Linked DNA regions of Drosophila melanogaster. The protein of the gene in region 2 interacts with the protein of the main gene of each other region in a pairwise test. Each region holds a gene or a part of one and is shown on either strand. Other genes may lie near its edges. The genes, in order: CG11961 and Gapdh2.

Region 1 (7,614 bases), on a different chromosome or scaffold from region 2:
ATCACATTTTCAAAAGCAATTCTTAGATTTTAAAGGAACACAATCACTTTGGTGAAATATGGCAAGGCATATAGGCACTAACCTTCAGATCACACGCGACTCGTACCGGAATCACCAACTATGAAATACAACCGTACCAGGGCCCAGCCGTTGGGCAACTAAGAAGCTCCAGGCTGGTTCCCAAGAATTAAGTAGGGCCCAGCTCCGGTGCGTTAGATTTCTTATCGCGTCCATGGCAGCGATAATAATTAAATATTATGATTATAATCGTCGATTTCGGCGCATAAAACGATTACATCCAGCGATAGGCGATACCAGAAGCATTTTCTCTTTATAACTTTTTTATGGAACCGTTGTTAACGCGATTAGGACTCACGTTCGGCGGAGATCTTTCGGTGGGGTCCAAAATCTAAAAAAATCTACATAAAACGTACATAAAATAATTTAGATTTGCTTGCTCTCTTTAATTTGGGGAAGTACGGACCGTGTTATCGAATCACATAAATTAACAACGTGTAAGTTAGATAAGAACACAAATTAAATAGAATTATACATTTAATAGTAGTTCAACACATTTTCTTGTACAATTTAGGTAACATTAATAACTAAGTAATAATTAAAGACAATGCAACAAGTGGCATTAAAATTCATGAATTAAATGACTTGGTGGTAAACCACCCCACAGACCCAAAATAAATTTAAACCATTTTTTTGGTGCTGTATATTAGATTTTTGGCTCAGATAAGAATACCTGTCTGGCACTGGTTGTTTCTTATTGCCTTAGGTTTTTTTTTTATAGCGGGACTAAATACTAATAAATATGTCTAAGCTGGACGTACTATAGGACAGCTCATGATTTACTACTGTGAACATTACAGGCTAAACGAAAATTTTGGTCACACGTTTATTAAATTTGTGTTTACCTCAATGATAATCATTCGGAAATGTTCAACTATTCATGCTGATAAGCATTCGGACATATTAAATTATCAAATCCTAATCTGGCAATCTAAAATCAGTCTGCATCACACTTTCCGTGAATGGACATTATGAAAAATACTCTATTTTTTTGGGGGCGATGTGCGATTTCGCCATTTATATTTTTGCGTGGGACACAAGTTGGCTAAACTCTGGACCATAAATTCTAAATCTATGGCCGATTATTTCCCGACGAGGCCATAAAATTCGAGTTAATACCAATTTTGGACATTCATTTTACGGACACCGAAAGTACATACACTCTTCTTGGTAGAACAGTCCTCATTTCTACATTCATATCATGTAGAAAATACATTCTACGTTTAGGAATTATGTAACTTTCAATTGGCGATATACAATCGCAACACTTTGATATCGGCCGCATAGCTTAGGGGATTAGTTATTATTAATTATTGATAAATGAACAGCCCAATATAACTGACGCTTATCAATGATTATGGTTTTTCATATCTCAAGAACAAAGTTCTTACGATATTTATTTTACGAAGGTACAAAAATGTATACATTAGATAGCTTCTCTAGAAGATCCGGCTCTCGAATGAAGCTGGCCAGGGTGTGGCATCCACATAATGGGGGAAACTGTCGAGGAACTTCTTAAAGTCAGGCGTTATTAGTTCCTTGTGATGGTTCCAATGGCCTCCGAGCCCAAGTTCCAGAGTAGAAGAGTTCCAATTTCCGTTGGGTTTCTGGTCGATGTGGAAAATATATGTATAGACAAATTACTTTTGCGAGTTTTCCATAACCTACCTCTAGTTCTAGCCAGAATTTAAGTGGATCTCCATTGACACCCCACGAGAAGTAGATGAAGTAAGGTGGCTCAAAGCTCAGACGTAAGGGTGCCTGTAGTTGTTGAGATATTAACATTGAATTCAGACTTATGTGACTTTAATAATTACCTGATGGAAGGACCAGTCCATCATCTTTGCTCCGTTCAAGGGCTGTATAAAGAGGGCCATGTGATTGGGTCCACTTAGCTGCATTTCATAGCGAATTTTGGTGGGCGACACTGTATTCTTGGAGAGCAATAAAACGGTTGGCACATTCTCGCCAAGAACAGGTTCCGATGCGGGTATCCATAAACTGTTCTTTCTATAAGGACTCAAATGTATTAGTTTACTAATTCATACTAACTTTTTGAGTTGGAAACTAACCTGGTCTTGTGCCAACGCTGATTATATAGGGGCAATCCGCAATTAATTTCCTTATCGCAATCGGATCCAATTCTTTGGGCCAGTGTCATGTTGATAACAGCATCTTAAAAGGCCAAAAAAAATTCCATGAATTAACCTTTCAATATAATTAGTCCACCTTACTTTTCACGGTGTAAGTGCGTCTGTCCTGGGGCATAATGAAGTAACCAGATTCCTGACGGCGCACTTTGTTTTGAGCGTCGTGGAAGGTACGCTTGGTGTGCTAAAAAAAGGAAATCCTTTTTACTTATCAATACAATATAACTTTGTAGTTTCTTACCAGGACAGCGAAACGCTGGACATTCGTTTCTGGGCGATAGGGGAATCCAATTGGTGTCATTGCAATAATGAAGCACAATAACGTGATGCCCATCAGGCCGCAGATGATGGTCTTCGATTTGTTGAACAACTGCAGAACAGGGATAATGAAACCGCAGCAGAGGAAGCCCACAGCGACACTGAAAACAGCCACCGCCAAATCCGGATTAAGGTTCTCTCCAAAACGACCAAACATTGGAATGAACGTGGTGAAGAATCCGTGCGAGAAATATGCAAAGAATACAAATGGTGGCACAGTGCAAACAATGTGCGGAATGACCCATGCGACATCTATTGGGAATAAAAAGACATATTAAAAATCAAACTAAGCATACTCTTATAAATACAACTCACCTTTGGTGTGCAGTTTGGTGGCAATATTAATGATCAAGCCCACTGTATAGAACAAGCAACTGAGCATCAAAACAAAAACAGAGCGAATTCCACAGATGGTGAAGATCAGGGTGAGAACAGATAAAAGTAGGCAGTGGCAGTGCAGCAAAAGCTGAACCCGCTGACCAATGGGAAGCTTATCCTGAAAAAAGATTTAGCTTTAGTCAACCAATAAATCATACCAAACTATACATACACGCTTGGTCCAGTGGAAGTACAAGGCAGGCACTATGGCCAAACCGAAGAAGAAAGTGGTGAAGTAGAGACCCAGGATGAGCCAGGAGTTCGAGAACCACGACAGAGGCAAATGCACCGCATCCATGAACAGACCGAGCAAAACTGGCAGGATGGCTCCCACAACAACAGATAGAATCTGTACGAGGAGTGTGTGCCCCACCTTCTTGAGGATCTTTTCGAGCTTTATGCCCGAGTTGACCGACATCAGCTTAAAAGCGTAGCCACAAATCCCGATGGATACCAAGGAGACGATGACGTTCAAGATAACGCCTTCGGTTTCGGTGTAGAAAACCAGAAACCAACCCATAACATCGAAATAGATGGTGTGACCTTTGGCGTATTTCTGAAAAAAGAAAAAGGCAATTAGTAATTTATCATTAAGATCTGTATCAGCCATGTTACCGCTGAATTCTCAATCTCCGGAGAGTTTGCAATCTGTCGGACCAAAGCAAGCAGATTATCGCCAGTATGCTGGAAACTACCCCTGGGAAAGATCTCTGCCTTGTCGTGTCGCGTGTGGTAGACAAATCCGTTGTAGGTGTAGGCCATATCCAAGCCGGGAACCGATCCATGGTCACGGAAAATGCGGAAGTCCGTGTCAGAGGGAATGAAATTGTGCTGGAACAGCTCCTCGCCCATTGTAGAAGCATACGGGTGCTTGATGGCACGTCGGTAGTTCTTCATTAGCCAGGGATGATTGGGTCCCGATTGGAAGAGGATCTCTCGACCGCCATTTCCGCAGGAATCGAGATTGATAAGGGCTCTGTAAAGGATAAATGAAAGTATAAGATAAATTCGACAAAATTTAAAGCACTCATTTGACCTACTTGCAATATTTGGCCCACTTGTGCTGGGTGATGAAGGCATGCGAGGCCTGAAGGGGATTTTCCTCGGCACCATTGAACAGGAATACCACAGGGTTCTTTAGTGGCTTATCGGACTTGGCCAGCACACGGAGTACCTCCATCATAGTGGCCACCATGGAACCATCATCACCAGCACCAGGTCCCGCCGGCACGGAATCATAGTGACTGTTTACCAGAAGATAAGTAGTGCTGTTCGTGTTCTTGGGACTGATCTTAACGACAATATTCTGAATGCTCTGGTACATATTGACCATGGACCAGTGAACATAGCTACCGGATGCCACCTGAACATCCACTTCAATATCGTTGGCAGTGCCGGATCGAATTTTTTGCATCTTCTGGGAGAGCATCTTCAAAGCGGCCATCTCATTCTGTCGACTGCCCACCACTCGGGGTCCCAGGCTCACTAGCTCCCGTAGATTTTTCTCTGCGCGCTCGGCGATGAACTGGTCGGGATGCGTTTCCTCATCCTGAATGGTCAGTGGGCGGGGAAGGCGGTGGCAGGCGGGTATCGAGATGGTCACATAGAGCAGCAGCCAGAATCCAAAGAAGGCGGGTGCCCAGAACCACTTAATCTTGTTTCCCTGGACGAATGCTCGCTCACAGCCATTGGGCTGAGCCTGAAATGAAGCGGATAAAGATTAATTCAATTAAATTCAAACAACTTAATATGCCTGCAATGTCAGTATTGGCTTTAGGTCACTTATCTTATACGGGACTTCCGAAAACTAGGCATGTACATACATATTGTATATCTTTTAATCTTGCCAATGCCCCCTAAAGATATCTAATTTTCGGCACGGTTTTATTCACACCGAATGGATATTACCCAAAACTTCGTAGTTAGATACACCTACGTCTGGCCGCAGACATGAGTCAATTTCGAAATTGGAATCGACTATAGGTATCAAGTCGAAAGTTAGATTTAATCCATCAACGGTTATCTTATCGCTGGTCAGCCCGCCAGTTGCAAAACCTGTTGCCACCGAAAATCGAATTGGTCACAGGTGGATAGTATAACTTCTTGTGTTGGGAACTGCTCCACTAAACTAAGGCCAGACAGATAGATAAACCGAGGGTGCAACTAGGGCGAAATGGTGCGCTGCTATCTCAAGGGTATCCACTGTTCGTTAGTTATCGGCTTTTCCCTGATAAGTACATGCCGCCAAAAAAAAGTCGATTCCCTTGGAACTCAACCATGGGTAATGCTCATGTTGCTGTTTGGCTGTTTGGATCGGCGGTGATTAGCACATACCACACCCAATTGAAGAGCAATCTAATCAAGGACCCAAAGTGGGTGCTTACCTCATACTGCTGGGAACCGCGGGGTCGTAGCAATGGATCCACATTCGTAGGATCGTTGGTCGGCGTAATGACGCGACGCCGTACATTCTTCTCACTGCCACTCATGTTTCCGGATAACGATGCCCGGTATTTTGGTCAAGATCTCCCAATGAACCGATCGCGTCGGCGTCCAACGCTCTACTGAACGTTCCACTGCATTGATTATCCTAACGTACCGGTCTCAAATTCCCTCACAGAGACAAATAACTTTTTTATTCTCTCGCCCACGATACAATGTTTCTTATCTATCGGTTCGTCGTACGAACCGTATACAATAGTTCGAAATATGTTTATGGCTACTCAGGGTACAGGGGGTTGTGGGGGGCTGGATTTTCATTAACAGTGGACTGCGAGAAATGCCTACATAACTTCCGCTTGGATTCATAATTCATAATTCTGAATTTGACCAAGTCGATATATATCAATTAATTAGAGCAGCAGCATTATGAGTGCAAGCCCACATCTTATCTTTTTTTACACATTGAAAAAATAGGTATATCAATCTGTATTTATCATAGTAATAATGGCTGAATGGTTTTTTACTTGCAACGATTTTATGAATTCACTGACATCTGCATTATATTTTTCTAAGTGCACTTTGCATTCTAAATCTGCATCCGTACCTTCGATCTTTTCTCCTCCGTTTCGCTGCTCATTCCGAGGCGCTCTTCTTCTTCCCGTATCTATATTGTAGCGAAACCGGCCTTGTTGTTTTTGCCGCTCCGAGTTTTAGCCGCCGAATGGTGGGATCAAAGTTTCCGAAGCGCGGTTTTAATACCGCTCGAGCGCAAAGCGCTGCGGCACTAACTGAATTATTCAAAATAATGGTCAGCGTTTTGTTGACAGTTCTTAGTTGCTAATATTTACACTTTTCACACAGCGCATTATTTTCGTATTTACTTGGGCAAATGTGTGTGTGTGTGGTAAACAAAATAATTGTGTGCGACATTCGATAAAGATAGCAATCGTTTCGATTGTCTATCGCACCCAAGCGGTTCTTATCTGATTCGTAATTGCATACTTTCGGGCGGCAATTTGGAAACAATTTCACACTGGCCAGCAAAACGACCGAACAGCCGAACAAAAAGATAGGGCACAACTAAAAGCGGTAAATTTGCTCATTTACAGTTATGCGCCCTCATGCCTGTCTCTCTCTCTTTCTGGCCTGCATGTGCATTAGAAAACGATGACGTGAAAAGCACAGGCACACACACGCATGCAGCGGGAGCATCCCGTTTGGAATTGAGGACAACGTGGAAAACATGTGCCATAAAACGGGAAATGCAATAAAGGCGGGGGAGGTGCAGGAAGGGGCACTTAGGCGCAGTGTCATTCAACCTAAATAAGGAATGCCCGAGTGGGTGTAACCTATGTGTGTTTGTGTGTGTGTGCCAATTGCTCTCGCGAATTCATTCACTCACTAATACACTGACTCCCGCACTCACTTCTTCATTGATGCCTTGTGGCACTGAAATTCGTAAACAAAGCGTTCACCGGAACACGGACCGAAAGGATAATCGATAGAATGAACGCCCAGGAACAAGTGTATGGGAATTCCGTGAGAGTTTCACAATCAGAGCTACGAAAACACTGACCAGCTAGTTTTGGCCGTCTTTTGTGGCTAGTTTTAGTCGAACGGAAAGCGAGAGAACGCAGAAAGTACGCATGCGTGTGAGAGCAATTGCCGGTTTGGGGACACAACCAAAACAAAGCGAAATATGTGTCAGCTGCTTCTTCGCCCGCCTTTTCGACACAAATTCGCGCGTCCTCGTGCTTTGCGTACCCACCATCACCACCCATTCAACGCCTATCTTCCTAGCACGTTCATTTTGGTGGTGCCGCTCCACCCACTCTCTCTCTTCCTCTCTCTCTCTCTCTCTATCCCACTTTCTCCATCGTTCAGTTGAGCCGCTTGTCCCGCTGTTACTAAAGTCTCAGTCGCGTTTCAACGCTCGAAGCTTTTGGTCGTGCTCGCTGCCTAGGAACAAATTTAAGCAGAACGAAAAAAAAAAATAAATTAGGACTCAAAGTGGGATCCCTAACGGTACTAAAAATGTGCTTGGAGTAAAGAAAGGGGCCGCGTATCTATGTGCGCGCGTGTGTGTATGTGTGCGTCTATCTCTCTGCCTGTTCCGTTTGCCTAGCTAAAAATAAAATTATATAATTTTTAATAAAAAAAAAGAATAACAGAAAGGAAAGCACCCAGCGAATGCAAATCGTATGCGGAGCGAGCGGAAGAAACCGTACTGAATTTGTGAGTAACAGCC
Region 2 (3,910 bases):
AAAATGTGTACCACACACACACTGCACAATCGTTAAATTCGCTCGGAAAACATACTCTTTGTTCGCCCCGTCAGTTTTACACAAGTTATGGCGTTTTCACTCGGTAACTTTCATTTACATTCATCAAGAACCAGAAGTCTTGAACTCTTATGCTGATTTGTGTCCGTTTGTTGCTACTGCATGTTGAATAATTCACATTTTATTTTAAGGTTTCATCAATTGATTATTTTATTTACATGCCAGTATTAAAATGTTCTGAAAATTAGTGTGCCCGTGTGAGAAAATTAATCGAAAAGACGGTATAGCAAGCGATTAAATATCGATAACGATATAATGGTGAAGTGCTGTTGAAATGATGCAGTCAACCAAAATATTTGATTATATTTGCCAATTATGCAAATATAAATCGGCAGAGAAACATTATTTTCTCAGAAATGTATCCAAAAAGCCAGGCTTACACAGACAATATGCCACCGTTAGTCTCTCCAAATATCGATAACTTCTGTTTATACATTGCTTCAACTGAAGGGTTTAAGGTCGCTCTTATCGAAATCTGTAAAAGCCCGATTTTTGCCGATAACAATACCATAGAATCAGGCTCATTTAAAATTATTTGAAAACTTTAACAAGTTATGTAATCATTCAAAAACCAATCGACTTAAAAAAAATATCGACACATTTCTGTTATATATATATTACTTCCAAATATAGCAAATGAAAAAAACAATTTAAAGTAATACTCATACTATTTTAGGTATTTCAACGGTTTATACCAAATAAAAAGGCAAAAATAAATATTTAAATGCTTATGAGTCGGCATTTTTAAAACTACACACAGAGTGAAACTTTATTCAACAACAGTAAACATATTTATGTGTATAATGGATGTATTATATTAATAATTTTCCAATGTGGCTGGTAATTGAAGAGCGAAAACAGTAGCATTTCAGAGCATAGCGCATATGTATGTAGGTGATGCTCCACCGGGGAGCAATATATATATAAGTTATGTGATGCCATTTTCAGGCCGTTTCTGAAGTGTCTCACCCCATTCTACCGCGCCCTAATCTTTAACTTTTACGTAGAGTGTGGGTGGGTAGTGTTCTTGGTGTTCCACATTTAATCCTTGCTCTGCATGTACTTGATCAGGTCGATGACGCGGTTGGAGTAGCCAAACTCGTTGTCGTACCAAGAGATCAGCTTCACGAACTTGTCGTTTAGCGAAATGCCAGCCTTGGCATCGAACACCGACGAGTGGGTGTCGCTGAGGAAATCGGTAGAAACGACCTCCTCATCGGTGTATCCCAGGATACCCTTCAGGGGTCCGTTGGCGGCCTCCTGAACCTTGGCCTTAATTTCATCATAGGACGCACCCTTGCCCAAGCGCACGGTCAAATCGACCACGGAAACGTTGGGAGTGGGCACACGGAATGCCATTCCGGTGAGCTTACCGTTGAGGGCGGGGATAACCTTGCCCACGGCCTTGGCAGCTCCAGTGGAAGCTGGAATGATGTTCTGGGCAGCGCCACGTCCATCACGCCACAACTTGCCGGAAGGTCCATCGACGGTCTTCTGGGTAGCGGTGGTGGCATGAACGGTGGTCATCAGACCCTCGACGATCTCGAAGTTGTCGTTGATCACCTTGGCCAGAGGAGCCAAGCAGTTGGTGGTGCACGATGCGTTGGAGACCACCTTCATGTCGGGCTTGTAGGCATCCAAGTTGACGCCGCAAACGAACATGGGAGCATCGGCGGATGGGGCCGAGATGATAACCTTCTTGGCACCGCCCTTCAAGTGAGTGGATGCCTTGTCGATGGTGGTGAACACGCCAGTGGACTCCACGATGTATTCGGCACCAGCGCTGGCCCAGTTGATGTTGGCCGGGTCGCGTTCGCTGAAGACGGTGATCTTCTGGCCGTTGACCACCAGGAAACCGCCCTCGGCGGCAACGGTGCCCTTAAAACGTCCGTGGGTCGAATCGAACTTGAACAGGTAGACCATGTAGTTCACATCGATGAAGGGATCGTTGACGGCCACAACGTTGGCGCCCTTATCAATGGCGGCGCGGAGAACCAAGCGGCCGATGCGACCAAATCCATTGATACCAATCTTCGACATGGTTAACTTTTTGTTTATCTGGAAAGTAATGTATGTATATGTAAAGCAGTTAGTACTTGGAAAGTTTTCCGCGGAATTGAGGGAAACACTACCTATCGGCTTGCTTGCAAGGAATCGACTGTGATGGCTGAGAAATTTTGAGCGCTTTCTATGGGCGAAAACTCGGGCGAAAAATTGTTCAAAGTCAGATGAAGGACGTGCATGTCAAGCTCGAGAGCGGCTACCGCAATAAAAAAGAGCTTTTGCTCTCAGTAACGTGAAAGCTCAATGCTACCCAATAGACTTTTTGCAAGCATCATTATATGAATATAATAAGTAGATATGTACATAAGATACGCTTAACTTTAAAAACTTCTGATCTTAGACAGTTAAAGTGACCTATAAAGTATATGGATTTTTTAATTTATACGGACAAATGTTTATTGGGATATTTTTATGGCCATTTCACCTGCTCAATTTTGTTGACGGAAGTTGAGCTTTCTTGTGAGCTTAGTTGCCGGCAATTACATACGTGCATATATAGGCACACGAAACATACACATATATGAGCACGTCTGATGAACATCAATTGGTTATATTGTACATAAATATGTACATAAGTAAATGCAAATGGAAAAATCCTAACATCCCCACATAAATACATATTCATCAATTTCATTAATATTAAAATTTAGAGGTCATATTCTGAGCAAATTGAAGTTTCGCCGGTACGTGACATTAATCTGTACAATACATGTACATATGTACAAAGATACATATACATGTAAATATGTATATATCTTCTATGCATAACTACAATATTAGATGAAATAATTGTCTAAGTAATTAAATTATCCGTTTTGATGATTTCATTTAAGCAATTGTGCTGTTGTCATCCCATTGTTAAAATGAAAAACACCTGACAGCTCAAGTAGGCATCCAAATTTCATGAATTTTAAACGCTAATGGTAATAAATAGTGTTAGTCACAAAATTCCATGTACCCATAACAACGAAATTGTATAACTTTATGATGAAAACTAAGTGAATGTGACCTTTTGAGTCACGCAGAATTCATTTACCTTTTTTTATTATATATAAACATGTATATACATATGTTCTTAAAATCAGCAGATCCCGTTTATATAAATATTAAAACATATGTATACGAACGATATATAATCAAAATCAATTAATTTGGGAGTATTTTATTCATACAATCATTTGTAGTAAAAAAAAAGGTATCTGCAAATTAATCATTTCTCCTTCCCCAAACTGAATAATCGATATTGTAATCATTTAACATTCTTTTTATTCTTTTCATTCTTTTTATATATTTATCGATTTGTTTTCAGTGCAACCCTTAATTATGAACATAGCAGTGAAAATTCAAATAAGCGCGCCAACATTAAAATGTTGAAATATGCAATTTGACAAGAACTCAACATTTCTGTTGCCTTATCTTTTACATTTTATAAATTATTTCTCGAATAAGTATTAAATATTTTAGTGCGTCATGTTTATTTATTAATACTTGGGCTGGGCAAAAAAGTTCGTTCCTTTTCAGTGAGTCATCGGTTTTACTGATAAGCAAACATTTCACTTGTTTTTTAACCTCTCATCTTTATATTGTTGAAACGATAAATGTATTTCAGCTTGGTGCTAAATTATTGCAGCAAAGTCAAAAACAATGCTTACATCTTACCATTAAGATCCATTGAAAGATGACTTCTAGATTTATACATTACCGAAAAAAAGGATCCGATTAGAAAAGTATCCCTGAAAGTGAATAAAACACCTGCCAATGTTGTGGA

What was found.
Region 1: the proteins of Gapdh2 (region 2) and CG11961 interact in a two-hybrid assay, tested with the Drosophila melanogaster proteins (one large-scale study listed by BioGRID).

Annotation. Positions count from the first base shown.
Region 1 is NT_033778.4:19,356,195-19,363,808, reverse strand, and holds CG11961 (uncharacterized protein), read right to left. Parts: upstream 5,494-7,614; 5' UTR 5,414-5,493; coding exon 5,309-5,413; intron 4,624-5,308; coding exon 3,965-4,623; intron 3,901-3,964; coding exon 3,540-3,900; intron 3,481-3,539; coding exon 3,097-3,480; intron 3,043-3,096; coding exon 2,862-3,042; intron 2,799-2,861; coding exon 2,470-2,798; intron 2,413-2,469; coding exon 2,313-2,412; intron 2,254-2,312; coding exon 2,151-2,253; intron 2,089-2,150; coding exon 1,896-2,088; intron 1,840-1,895; coding exon 1,747-1,839; intron 1,686-1,746; coding exon 1,518-1,685; 3' UTR 685-1,517; downstream 1-684.
Region 2 is NC_004354.4:15,866,544-15,870,453, reverse strand, and holds Gapdh2 (glyceraldehyde 3 phosphate dehydrogenase 2), read right to left. Parts: upstream 2,310-3,910; 5' UTR 2,211-2,309; intron 2,137-2,210; 5' UTR 2,119-2,136; coding exon 1,120-2,118; 3' UTR 793-1,119; downstream 1-792.